2 linked regions of the Saccharomyces cerevisiae S288C genome follow. The protein of the gene in region 1 interacts with the protein of each later gene in a biochemical or structural test. Each region holds a gene or a part of one and is shown on either strand. Other genes may lie near its edges.

The links.
Region 2: the proteins of DSK2 (region 1) and RUB1 form a complex in vitro, tested with the Saccharomyces cerevisiae proteins (one study listed by BioGRID).

The regions. Positions count from the first base shown.
Region 1 is NC_001145.3:815,217-823,160, forward strand, and holds DSK2 (ubiquitin domain-containing protein DSK2), read left to right. Parts: upstream 1-3,610; coding exon 3,611-4,732; downstream 4,733-7,944. Other genes in the region: RCE1 (CAAX prenyl protease), read right to left, coding at 1-95; ubiquitin-ubiquitin ligase BUL1, read right to left, coding at 435-3,365; FCP1 (protein serine/threonine phosphatase), read left to right, coding at 5,040-7,238; phosphoribomutase PRM15, read left to right, coding at 7,547-7,944. UniProt on the Saccharomyces cerevisiae protein: Involved, with RAD23 in spindle pole body duplication. Involved in the ubiquitin-proteasome proteolytic pathway.
Region 2 is NC_001136.10:730,355-737,016, reverse strand, and holds RUB1 (NEDD8 family protein RUB1), read left to right. Parts: upstream 1-3,092; coding exon 3,093-3,241; intron 3,242-3,314; coding exon 3,315-3,399; downstream 3,400-6,662. Other genes in the region: DOP1 (Dop1p), read left to right, coding at 1-2,116; MTQ2 (S-adenosylmethionine-dependent methyltransferase), read right to left, coding at 2,214-2,879; HPR1 (Hpr1p), read right to left, coding at 4,181-6,439. UniProt on the Saccharomyces cerevisiae protein: Ubiquitin-like protein modifier that can be covalently attached to lysine residues of target proteins. Activated by the dimeric UBA3-ULA1 E1 enzyme and conjugated by the E2 UBC12 to substrate proteins.

The DNA.
Region 1 (7,944 bases):
CGTTTAGACCCTTCTGGTTGTGAAGTTGCATATAGCGGTAGCACATAGGATATGGAGATGTATAGGAGCACTAGAAATGTTGAGAATTGTAGCATTGCTGTTCTGGTTCTCTCTATGACAGACAGTCAGTAGTCAAAGCATCAATTTATTTCGTTTTATTTTTCTTGACAAAGAAAATTCTATGTTTTGTTCCTGAAATCTCGATATTTTAGTAACTTAAAATAAAGGTAATAAAATCATCAAAGGTTTTCCATCCAGTGGTCCAAAAAAAAAAAAATACAGAAGCAACAAAAGAGCACCAGAAAATGCATTTTAAAAGAATTTTATTAATAATAGGGAATACAAAGGACGCGATAAATACCTTCATCTATAAGCAAACCATACATATATCTATATCTATAAGAAAAGTAACGAGAATTTTTTCTAATGTTTTTTTATTTTGTCACTTGCCTAACAGAAATAGGGATATCAATCTTCGCTACGCCAAGATGGTTTTCAAATTTAATCATTACTCGAACGCAATAAAACCTACAACATAGGCAGCTTTCAAAACTTGGAATTAAAGTTTCCTTAATGTCCTTATTAAATTCCAAGTTCACATTAATGTCTCGTTTGTACTGTAAAGGAGCAATCCTAACCCATTTATGAACAATCTGGTCTGTAAATTTCAGGGAAGTAGACGAGCTACCGCTAGGTAAAAATAAACTACTCTTGGATGAAGAAGTTACTGGCGTTAATGACGCTGAACTGGGCGACGATGAACTACCGTTACCTGTGTGCGATATTGAATCCTCAGATAATGCGTGCTTTGAGTGTTGTTTTAGGGTACTGACCTGTTTTTTAAAAATGTTGGATAAGTTGTGAACACTAACTTTCAAGTTGCAAATGCTTTCGATATCGTTAAACAGCTGTGAAGTAATAAAATCTGTAAATTTCAGTTCCTTTGGCCTACGGTCTCCCCTATTCATATTATATAACTCATTTAATTCAAGAAAATTCTTGTTGAACTTGGTTTCATATTCACAAATTTTTGAATGGAAATCATCGTACAAAGCTTTGATGCTTGTCAGCTTCTCTTTGTTCATCAACAGTTCAGAATTGAGTTTTATTGGGATAGAATTATCAGATTTAGCAGTTATACATATCAGTTCTGTGGTAATCGATTGAATTTCTGGCGGATCATGAGGTAAGCTATTATCGGATTCTATGCAAGTCAATTGTAAATCAAGTTTTTCCAATGGTTTTTTTACGTCTTCCGGAATCAACTCAGACAATCTCACCCAATTTTCTTGGTCGTGTTTACTCTTAGATTCAAAAACATTGGTCTTTCTCAATAATGAGGGAGCCCAATATGGTAGGCCCTGTTTTGGAATTTTCGCCTTTACTAGTATTAGCCCTGTCCTTTCTTTATTTCCCGTTAAATCATGATTATTCTTTCCCGCATTTGAGGAAGAGGACATTGAGCTGGAACTGCTGTTTAAAAAATGAGAGAAGTTCAGAAATGAGGAGGAATTGGATTTGTTTTTCAGTTTATATTTTAGTTCACTTTCAACAAAGGGACCCCAAGCTCTGGAAGTATCGGTATTATGACCACTATTTCCACTGCGGCCATTGTCCAAATCGTGGCCCAACTTCAAATCGTTATAGTTGACTAAATAGTTATTTCTGTTCTTAATGTGCAGTTGGTCCAATTTCCTCTGCAAAATTTCTTGGGAGTCTGATTCAATAGAATCATCAATGGTACCACTCAAGTCTGCACCGTGAATGTCGCGGTTCGTTATGGGTTCTTTTTTCTCTAATCTCTGAAAGATTTTTCTAAGAGCATCCAACCTTTCCTGCACTAGTTTGGTGATATCATTCAGCTGACTCATAGTGGTTCTTTCTCCGACGACATTGGCGTCAAAACCAAAAGGGATTACTCTTAGATTATATTCTCTTTCCTTCATAATATACAGTTTAGAGGCCTTTTGATCTTTACCGACAATCCTTGCATCAATAGTGTAATTGATCGAAAGGTTGTCATCAGACATATCGTTAGTTAAGATGGGGGAGCCCTTTGTACCTAAATGACCGCACCCAAGTACCCTATTGACTTTGATACCGGAATATTTGCAATTGTTCCTATATTTATCAATACCAAAACTGGGAGGTAACAAACAATGAGAGAAATGCTCCTGCTTACAAGTGACATCTAGCAATTGCAGTGGCAATTTGAAAATGAAGAATTTCTTGTACTTGACTCCGGGTTCCAGAACCCGGCTATTGTTTAGCCCAAATACAGAACCATCGTAGTCAACATCTGCGGGAATGAAGTCCACACCGGACCCCAGTGCTATTTTCGAGTATGACCAAGAAGCGCTCAAGTCTACCATCCTTAAAAACCGTTTAATCGTTCTTTTACTCTTTACTTTATCAATAATGGAAATGTAAGACTCTAAAGTGACATAGAACATTTCAAACTTTAGGTTTGCTTGAGATTTGTTTTCAATAGTGATAAAACCATGAATCAAATCCCCCGACGTATACTCTTTCAAAATGGACTCCTCCTCCGGCTTCACGTGTGGTATAGGTGCATGCTTCGTCGTCTTGATGGTGATTTCGATGGGTGTGGACATTTTTGGTAAAGTGTACAATTTGTCGATGAAAATGTTGTCTGTATCGTTCAAGTCATCAAGTATGGGAGGTATATCCAGTGAATCTTCATCGACAGCGGTTGATTGATGTGCTGCAATACTGTGATGTTCGGTTCGAAGGGGAATTAAGTTTTCTAAATTTGATGTTGACGAAGAACGTGTGGCACCCAATGCGTCAGTGGACAATGATTGATGTGAGAGATCAGCGCTCGAGCCCGCAGCACCTGTTGCAGTAGAATTATTGGCCTCTTGGTATGAAGGTGGGAAATCATGCCTATCTGGATCGACGTTGCCCTGCGGAATGTGCCTATGCAGGGTATTGTACATCTCAAATGAGGGCAGTACATCAACAACATTGTTGATATCTCCGTCGGTCAAGGACCTTCCGGTCTCGACGGGGGTCGCATTTGCAGTTGATCTTCTCAAAGGAGAACGATTACCTCCAGCAGGCGTTCCGGTGGAAGGAGCATGCGAATGAGAATGTGCTAGTTCGGGACGTCTTAGTCCAAGGATCCCCGTAGCAGACGCGCTTCTTATCCATGATTTTGGAGAGTGTAACGACGGTGACCTCGAACTGCCTTTACCACCCTCTTGTTTCTGCCTACCACGCCCCCTTGTGTTTGCATTAACGTTCATAGTTGTCGAACTATTTGCGGTAAAATCAGATCGTTGAGGACGCAGCAAAGGCTTCCTCTTCGGTGGAAACCCCGAATCGTTCAAATCTTTGGCCATTTAGCGTACGATATACCTGTTGACACACACGAACAGTCTCTTTTCGCCCTTGCTAAGAGCTTCTTTCCATAATCACTATGCGGCTCTTCATTGCAATACTTTTATCATTATTAAAATAGCCTCTGAGAGCGGGTCACGGCCCGCTGAAGGGAAAGAACAATTTAAAGCCAGTTTTAAGTTCAATCCACCGATGGACGAGAGGCAAATAAGACGGATCAAAGACACCGAATCATTCTAGCACGATAATGTCGTTGAATATACATATCAAGTCAGGACAAGACAAGTGGGAAGTAAATGTGGCACCTGAAAGCACAGTGTTGCAATTCAAGGAGGCGATAAACAAAGCGAACGGTATCCCGGTGGCAAATCAGAGATTGATCTACTCGGGTAAGATTTTAAAGGACGACCAAACCGTGGAGTCATACCACATTCAAGACGGTCACAGCGTCCATCTGGTCAAGTCACAACCCAAACCACAAACCGCCAGTGCCGCTGGCGCAAATAACGCCACCGCCACCGGTGCAGCAGCTGGCACTGGCGCCACCCCGAACATGTCGTCAGGTCAAAGTGCAGGCTTCAATCCGCTGGCCGACTTGACCAGTGCCAGATACGCTGGATATTTGAATATGCCATCTGCAGACATGTTTGGCCCGGACGGTGGTGCATTAAACAACGACTCGAATAACCAAGACGAGCTGTTGAGGATGATGGAAAACCCCATCTTCCAATCGCAAATGAACGAGATGTTGAGTAACCCTCAGATGTTGGACTTTATGATCCAGTCCAACCCGCAATTGCAGGCCATGGGTCCACAAGCCAGGCAAATGCTACAAAGTCCCATGTTTAGACAGATGCTCACCAATCCTGATATGATTAGACAGAGCATGCAATTCGCAAGAATGATGGACCCTAATGCCGGTATGGGCTCTGCAGGTGGGGCTGCCTCTGCCTTCCCCGCTCCTGGTGGCGATGCTCCAGAGGAAGGCTCCAACACGAACACTACTTCCTCATCCAACACAGGGAACAACGCAGGGACTAATGCAGGTACCAACGCAGGCGCTAACACAGCTGCAAACCCATTTGCGTCTCTTCTGAACCCTGCATTAAACCCCTTTGCTAACGCGGGAAACGCTGCATCCACCGGGATGCCCGCCTTCGATCCTGCATTGCTAGCGTCTATGTTCCAACCCCCTGTACAAGCATCTCAAGCAGAAGACACCAGACCACCGGAAGAACGCTATGAACATCAATTAAGACAACTAAACGACATGGGCTTCTTCGATTTCGATAGAAACGTCGCAGCCCTCAGGAGAAGCGGTGGCTCCGTCCAAGGCGCTCTTGATTCACTACTGAACGGCGATGTTTAAATAAACGTCTAGATGCCGCAACCTATATACTTTTACCCTACTCTATCGGCATATATTTAATCTACGTATTACATGTATCCATCAATAATATCATCATAATATCTGGACACTTTTGGAAGACGCGCCCTTGCGAAAGAAAAAAAAAAATTTTCGTTTCACACCTACAGTAATAAACACATAATAACAACGAGCTAATCATCCCAATCAATCACCCCTTCCCCCTTTAATTAGCAGCCAGGGTACTGTATTTAGTCATATAGCGGTACTTGCATTGACCGCGAACGTGTAAACACAAGCAAAGCAGATTATGACCACACAAATAAGGTCTCCCCAAGGCTTGCCGTATCCGATTCAGATCGATAAACTCATTCCAAGCGTAGGTTCGTACCTTCATGAGGGTGATAGGTTGCTTGTCTATAAGTTCTGGTATTTGGTGGAAAGGGCCTCAGACACTGGTGACGATGATAACGAGCACGATGTTTCCCCCGGCGGCAGCGCCGGAAGTAATGGTGTCTCTCCGCCAACCAAACAACTGCGTGAATCCATAGAATTCTTCGAAAGTCCCTACGAGGGGGACTTGATTAGTTGGAATGTAGACGTAGGAGATGAAGTAGCCACTGCTAACCAAGTGATTTGCGAAATAAAAAGGCCATGTAACCATGACATCGTGTATGGCGGGCTATGTACTCAATGCGGGAAAGAAGTTTCTGCAGATGCCTTCGATGGTGTACCACTAGACGTTGTCGGGGACGTGGATTTACAGATTAGCGAGACAGAAGCCATTAGAACAGGCAAGGCATTGAAGGAGCATTTGCGACGGGATAAGAAACTTATCTTAGTGGTGGATTTAGATCAAACCATCATCCATTGTGGCGTGGACCCTACGATTGCAGAGTGGAAGAACGACCCCAATAATCCGAATTTTGAAACATTAAGAGACGTCAAGAGCTTTACGTTGGATGAGGAGTTAGTACTCCCACTTATGTACATGAATGACGATGGTTCTATGCTGAGACCGCCTCCCGTAAGAAAATGTTGGTACTACGTGAAGGTAAGGCCCGGTTTAAAGGAATTTTTCGCTAAAGTGGCGCCTCTTTTTGAAATGCATATCTACACAATGGCTACAAGGGCTTATGCCTTGCAAATTGCCAAAATCGTGGACCCTACGGGCGAATTGTTTGGCGATAGAATTCTGTCGCGTGATGAAAATGGGTCTCTAACAACTAAATCATTAGCTAAACTTTTCCCCACTGACCAGTCAATGGTTGTAGTTATTGACGACAGAGGTGATGTTTGGAATTGGTGTCCAAACTTGATCAAAGTTGTTCCTTATAACTTCTTCGTTGGTGTAGGTGACATTAATTCTAATTTCTTGCCCAAACAATCTACAGGAATGCTACAACTAGGGAGGAAGACAAGACAGAAGAGCCAAGAATCTCAGGAACTGCTGACGGATATTATGGATAACGAAAAAAAACTACAAGAAAAGATAGATAAAGAAGTTAAACGCCAAGAAGAAAAATTGAACCATCAACTGGCGACTGCTGAGGAGCCTCCTGCGAACGAATCCAAAGAAGAGTTGACCAAGAAACTAGAATATTCAGCATCTTTAGAAGTCCAACAACAAAATCGACCCTTGGCCAAACTACAAAAACACCTGCATGATCAAAAACTACTAGTTGATGACGATGATGAACTATACTACTTAATGGGTACGCTATCAAACATTCACAAAACTTATTATGATATGCTCTCACAACAAAATGAGCCAGAACCAAATCTGATGGAAATCATACCAAGTTTGAAGCAAAAAGTCTTCCAAAATTGCTATTTTGTTTTTTCAGGATTAATACCCCTCGGGACCGATATTCAAAGGTCGGACATAGTGATATGGACGAGTACATTTGGTGCCACTTCCACTCCAGATATAGATTACCTGACGACACATTTAATCACCAAGAACCCTAGCACTTATAAAGCGCGTCTAGCGAAAAAGTTCAACCCACAGATTAAAATTGTTCACCCAGATTGGATATTTGAGTGTTTGGTAAATTGGAAAAAGGTGGATGAAAAACCCTACACGTTAATCGTGGACAGCCCCATCTCCGACGAGGAATTACAAAACTTTCAAACACAATTACAAAAAAGACAAGAATATCTGGAGGAGACCCAGGAACAACAGCATATGTTGACATCACAAGAAAATCTAAATTTATTCGCTGCTGGTACTTCATGGTTAAACAATGACGACGATGAAGATATTCCGGACACAGCTAGCGACGACGACGAAGATGACGACCACGACGACGAAAGTGATGACGAAAACAACTCGGAAGGCATTGACAGAAAGAGGAGCATCGAGGACAATCATGATGATACATCACAAAAGAAGACCAAGGCGGAACCTTCTCAAGATGGTCCTGTACAACATAAAGGAGAAGGGGATGACAACGAAGACAGCGATTCGCAGTTGGAGGAAGAGTTGATGGATATGCTGGATGATTAGCAGCTCAGATGCCGTATCTTTCCACACATTTTCCTCATTGGTCTTTGTACCTATAATTGTTCATATTATATATACGTTTGTAACAAATCGATAAATAGCAACAATATTTTTGCTTATTTTGATATCCTGAAATCCTTTTTTTTTTTTTTTTTTTTTTTTTTTTTTTTTTGATTTCATTTCGTTTTTTTTTTTTGAACATTATATATTGTATTGTTTTCTCCCTGTAGCGAGAACTAATTGATTCTTTCTCCTTTCCCCCTAAATACTCAACAGTACTCTCGAGCCATTAGCTGCTGCAATTTCAAAAAATGTTGCAAGGAATTTTAGAAACCGTACCATCTGACTTGAAAGATCCGATATCATTATGGTTTAAGCAAGACCGCAACCCAAAAACTATAGAAGAGGTCACCGCTCTCTGCAAAAAATCCGACTGGAATGAGTTACACAAAAGATTTGATTCTAGAATTCAGTTTGGCACTGCTGGTTTAAGATCGCAAATGCAAGCTGGCTTTAGCAGGATGAATACTTTAGTAGTCATACAAGCGTCTCAGGGATTGGCAACTTATGTAAGACAACAGTTTCCAGACAATTTGGTAGCTGTTGTGGGACACGATCATAGATTCCATTCTAAGGAGTTCGCTAGAGCTACTGCTGCTGCATTTCTTTTAAAAGGATTTAAGGTACATTATTTGAATCCTGACCACGA
Region 2 (6,662 bases), on another chromosome or scaffold:
TGTAACGGCCTATGTGAAGCTTCTTTCCGAAAGCATTGTTTATTTTGAGAATTCTATATTTCGAATGATTTTACCATTGTCTGCATCTCTTGTACAGTGTGTTCAGAGATTGTTTTTGCTAGAAAAGAGAGAAGGTGGTTATTACCAACCAATAGCTTTGCTTCTGGGTGGTCTGGAAGAGCTATTAGAGATTTCACATGGTTACCTTGTCACCGAGGAAAGGGAAGGATACTTTTCTGGGTCTAATCTAAAGGGTGATTTTATTCAATCCGTTGTTTCAAACGTTTTTTCGTCAGATTCTTCCAATGAAGAAAGTAAGATTCAGGGGGAAAGAGACGTAATACTACAATCTTTCAGACAGGTGATTTCATGCTGTTTAGATATCTGGTATTGGGCCCATAACATTTCGTGTAAATCTAACGATGATTCTAGCCTGGACGCCACTAATCATAACTCATACAAGTTCAAATTTAGGTCGAAGAAACTGTTGGAAACCTTATTTCTACTAGAACCTTTGGAACTTCTGGAAAATTTGATCAGCATTAGATCAGACAATACTACAGTCACACTAGTACATGTGCTCGACGGCAATAAACCCGCCATTACAATACCACATTTATTGTATGGTGTAATTATCAGATACAACAGAACGGCATCTGTCAAGTTTTCTAATCGTGACGGAAGTAGGTCAAGCACAACTAAATTAACTAAAGGGGAGCCTTCCATGTTAAAAAGATTAAGCGGGGAATCGATTATTGCATTTTTGTTTAACTACGTGGATTCTGTAGAAAACTCTGCAATGGAGGAGTTTTATGGGGATTTCCTGCTATTTTTCAGAGAAGTAGCAACCAATTATAACCTTTATTCTGATGTTTCGTTGTCTATATTAAAACTTGTTGCCCTTATTTCTGGAAAAGTAAGTAAAACGCAGTTTGGAGAACAAAAACGAGTTAGGAGGGAGATATCTGATGTGTTTTTCAAATACCTACCTAATGCATTTATAAACTTTACGAACTTATATCGTGGCCACCCTGATTCATTTAAAGATTTAGAATTTGTAGTATGGCGTGTTCAATATATCGTCAACGATCAAATTGGAGGAGACAAGTTTAATACAACGTTAGCGACAATTGTAAATCAATGCCTAACCCCTTATATCAAACCCAAAAGTGAAAAAACTATTCCAGGTTATGTCTTAGAATTGGCCGCGGTCGTATCCCATTTAGGTTCAAAAGTTAAAAGTTGGAGGCTTTTAATTGCGGAATTGTTCCAAAATGACAAAAAACTTTCGGTAATTGGCAGCGATCAAACTTGGGAAAAGATTATTTACGAATGGTCCATTTATCCAGAAAATAAGTCAAAAATCTTGAACGATTTACTATTAGAAATTGGCTCCAAGCGTTCAAGTGTGACTCCGACTTTAATCACGTTTAACTTAGGAAGCGATTCTGAAGTCGAGTACAAGTGCCAAAACCTTTTGAAAATATCGTACTTGTTGATGGTATCGCCAAATGACGCATATTTGTTGCACTTTTCCTCTTTAATAAGTTGCATTTTCCACTATTTGGTGTCCAAAGATATCAAGCTCAAGGGAAGCTGCTGGATCTTACTAAGGGTTTTACTTTTAAGATTTTCAGAGTCCCATTTCAATGACTATTGGTCTATGATCAGTTACTGTTTACAAACTAATTTGCAAGAATTTTATGAATCACTTCAAATACAGTCAGAAGTCGATCCACAAACAATATTGCAAGTATGTAAAACTTTGGATTTGCTACTCTTACTCAACATGGAAGGCTTCACCTCTACGAATGAGTGGATCTTTGTTATTGATACAATAAATTGCGTATATAAAACGAACTCATTCGTCGCGCTGGTAGATGAAATCGCAGAATTCAAAGATTACGAAATAACCAAAACTGATGATCTTGAATTACCGACAACTTTAAAAGATGGTCTCCCATTATTACGAGGCATTCACAAAATCGAGAGACACACGCAACTAAGAAGCTTCTTCCAGAATTTGAGTTATCTACATTATGAGAAAGTTTACGGACTAGGGTCAGTTGATTTATATGGTTGTGGTGAAGATCTCAAAAAAGATATTCTGTCATGAGCATAGCTATGAATTTTTCTTTATAAACCGAAATATAGTTATACGCTTTGAGTAAAGACACAGGTTATCAATTATAACGTGAAAGGTTTTGCAACTGTCACCTTGTAAAGCTGTACACACTGAGGACTTCCCATCCCGCTTTTCTCGTTTCAATAAGTTTCACATTCCATTTGTAAGTATCGACAAACCTCTTAATGACTTCTTTAGGCTTATTTCTTGCACAAAATAATATATATGCAACACCATCTGGAGAAAGAATTTGTTCTAATTGTCGTAGCAGTTTATCAGTAATCGCCATCCCGTCTTTTCCACCCAATAACGCTAAATCTAGCCATTGGTCTGCCTCCTCTCTTGATCCTGGGACATCTGGCACACATTCTGCTGGCACATATGGTGGGTTAAATATTAGGACATCAACCTGATTATTCCGAATACTGGAGTTTAAATCAGCTTGAATCACTTCTAAAAAAGAACTTTTACATGAATTTAACTTCGCAGTATCCAAAGTTGCTTCGAGCGCCCATGGGTTGATATCAACAGCTAAGTGGATGGAATTTTCCTGCGGTATTATTTTGTTTTGCATTAGAAATGTTGTGACGATACCTGATCCCGAACCAATTTCGCAAACGATGGCCAAACGATTACCAAATTTCTGTTTCAAAAAATCATGCTCTTTTTCCAAACAGTCCAGTATGAGGAAGCTATCCTCAGCAGGCTCATATACTTTATCGTAATCGCATTTTACATAAGGGGTCGGTAGCATACTTCACCTTTCTCACCCTGTGTTAAGTTTATCAATATTATATTTCAGAGTATAATTATATCAATATTTATATGAAATCAAATTCCGATGGCGTCTTCGGGAAGGCAAACGAACAACTTTTAGCTGAAAAACCAAAATTCTGTTATTCAAATGAAGTATTCCGACAGAGGAATAAATAAAGGAAGGTAATTAACTTCCTTACAGCCGTAACCGATGATTGTTAAAGTGAAGACACTGACTGGGAAGGAGATCTCTGTTGAGCTGAAGGAATCAGATCTCGTATATCACATCAAGGAACTTTTGGAGGAAAAAGAAGGGATTCCACCATCTCAACAAAGACTTATATTCCAGGGAAAACAAATGTATGTTCATTCAGTGGTTAATTATCTTTTAAGTTTATTTACGTTTTTGAGACCTTACTAACGACCAGGATAGTGATGATAAATTAACAGTAACGGATGCACATCTAGTAGAGGGAATGCAACTCCACTTGGTATTAACACTAAGAGGTGGTAACTAGAACCATTTTCCGTCATTTATGGAATTTTATCGAAGGTGTTCATTAGAAAAGAAGACAAAACGAACATAAGTTCACTTGGACTTTGGAAGGCTACCGCCCCCAATTTGTCAAAAAAAAAAATACATACAATTTAGTCTATAGAGTCTGTTATAATAAATTAATTGTTTTTAGACGAGAAATGTGAACTAAAACTGTTTAGTATCTATCAAATTATCCGTTATAGCATAGTACGGCTATATATGGTCTGATTGCTGGTCTCATATGACTTTATGGTTTAAATTTCATAAAGCTGGCCATTGCATGGTTCGCGCTGGAAAGAGAGGAAAAGCGTGGTGATAAAGAGCAAACCAAGCATACTGTTATATGCGATTACAGACTATCTGACCAAAAGACATATTTCGCCATTTCTTCTCAATCATGTCTTCCAGGGCAATTTTGTAAGCACGATTGGATGTCCTCTTGTAGTATACCGAATTTCTCATTAAGAAAAGCATCCTTTGCGCTACAACTTTATCAAGTGGAAGTATATACTAAACTCGGAGCATGCTTTTGCCAACGATATCAGTCTTAGCAAAGGGACTTCTAAGGACGTTATTGACGCCTGATTAATCTAATCAAATATAGGTTTGTCATTTTTTTAAACCGAATGGATTGACTTTTGTTTTCATCATAAGTATTACTCTCTGATAGGATCTCTGTGGTACGCTAAAATCTATCTGAATTGTTTGGGACACTATGCATGAATTTCTTATCAGTTTAAAATTTCTATTAAGAGGATAATTTATTTCATATCTTGGGTAGATGAACCATTAGAAATGTTCGAAGTAGCTGCATTGTTATCTTCTGTTTTTGGATTTTCTAGTTGAGCTGTTGTATTCTGTGGAGCAAACTCCCCGGCAACACCACTGTCAGGATCTTGCGAAGAAACTTCCGAGCTTTTTATTTTGGTATTCTCTTCTGATATTTCTCCCTTTGGTTGCGTCTGTTCGCTCTTCAACTCATCTCCTTCTGTTTGAGAAGCGCTGTTTATACGTTGCGACTTAATTTTTTGCTCTCTTTCAGGAAACGAAGCCTCTTCTTCCAGTGCCCTCTTCTTTCTTTCCTTTCCAATCTTGTACTCCCTAGCATCCTGAAGTTTTTTCCTGTGCTCTTGATTGATTTTGTACAAAAGTTTCTCTTTGAAACTATCATCCAACGCTTCCACTTTTCTGGGTTCCTCGAACAAACCATCAACACCAGTCTTTTCGTTAACTTTATCAAAATCGAACAAGTATCGCGATCTTAGAAACCGTAAAGTTTGCCATTGTCTGATTATTTCATCTTTCGCTTCTCCACCGGAAGTTTCAGAAGAAATTTTTGATTCCCATTTCGCTTGGGCTGCTTCATAGACACCTTCAGGCTTCTTTACTTCTTGCTCAATTTTATCTAGACCAGTAGGTATTTTCCAAACATTATTAATCAATTTATTCCCCATCTTGATGAACGTAAACTTTTTAAAAGTTTCGTCAAAAGCGGGTGGCGGTATCTTCTCCTTAGATATTCTGAAGTTTTGGAATTCTTTAAAGCCATCGATCTTGGCGGTTGTAAACTTTTCGTCAGAAGACATTAATTTGCGGATAACACGATAAAAGTCAGGGTCTTTAATTTTATAAAATTTCAAAACACGATTGTCGCAAATGTATGAACATAAATTGAGCCCACGCTTTTTGTTAACTTCATCAAGGTTCTCAAAATCAATATCGCTCAACGGGTTTTCCCTCAAATAGCAGCTTTTATAGAAATTCCTCGTTTCATCAGAAGAAATTAAATTGCGTATAAGATTTGTTGTGAAACATAGTTGTAAAATGAACTGTTTGCGGTAGTAATCATCGTCCTCTTGAGTCAATTGTTTATAAAGGCAGGTCGTATTGCTCAAAGAGATATCCATAATGGTAGGTCGAAGAGTGTAGTCATCTGATTCTTTAATATTCTGTAGATTCGCCCAAAATTCATTCCTGTCCATTTTCATTGCGTTTGAATGCTTCATATACACGGGTAATTTAGGGGTCATAACATCGTAATTCGCGTAATACTCAGTGTTCAGAGCTTCCTCTAAGGAATATCTAGTCCTATTGTTCATCTTGATTTTGCTGTAAAAGTTCTCTTCGATTTCCAAGATTGCATCAAGAAGGGGACTTAATGATCTGTCCACATCATTTTTATATTCTAAATCGCTAAAAGCAAATTCGATCGGGCAAATAATTAGATGATAAAACACGAAGTTATAATCTGCAGCAAATATAACGTCGGAACTGCGGTTGCTTTCTCGTTCACGTGCTGATCTGTTCCATTCGTTATCAGATTCTTGTAAAGCTGAAATAGAAGCGGATCTATTGAAGTTCGATTCTTCATTTATAGGTAGTAGCTCGGATAAAAAGTTCTCTAGTTTGTATTTCATATTATAATGTTTGACGGTATTAAGGATGTCATTATTCTCTAATTTAGCTAAAATATCGTTCCAGTGGCGCAGCTTTTCGTATAAAGGCTGTTTGTAACTAATCAAATTGCTCTCCCCCAATGATACTGGCTCAACAGATGTATTCATTTTGAACCATTCGATACGTGATTCAGCATAGGGCCAAAACTTCAAAAACGTAGATGGTGAGTTTAGCAAATCAATGATGGTGGAAAATAACTCGAAAAAGGTATTTCCCCAGCTAGCTGGATTAGATCTATTAAATCTTGAGTTATACACAAAATCGAGACCTATACACGAATTTAGTAACCCTTTTTCAAGATTATTTTCTTCTTCGTCTTCAATAGCATTTGTCATTGAATCTATAATGAATCTTTTAAGTATAATGTCAATCAAAGAATCTCTATCATGAATTGCCGAAATATTTTTTTCGAGCGGTTCCCATTCAAAATTGAGAACACTTGCATGCAACATTGAAGATGGAAGTGGTTCATGTCGAATGGAGTCAAACGAAACTGGGAGTGCTTTAAAAGTTTTCTGGAGAAAACCTATTGAGTTTTGGATCAATTCCTCGGTATTAGACATTATTACTCCTTTGCCCAAGTTTTAATGCCTCTTGAATTGTTAAAATCATCTATTAATTTACTGATCAAGCTATGGCAAAAACCTGATCATTCTAACGAAAAATGTCATTAGAGAAGCAATATGCATCGTGCGAAATGAGCAGTCTTGAAATCGCACGGACAGCAACCCATGACATCAAGAGATGACTATTACGACAATAAAGCCGGTTAACTAACTTATAAAT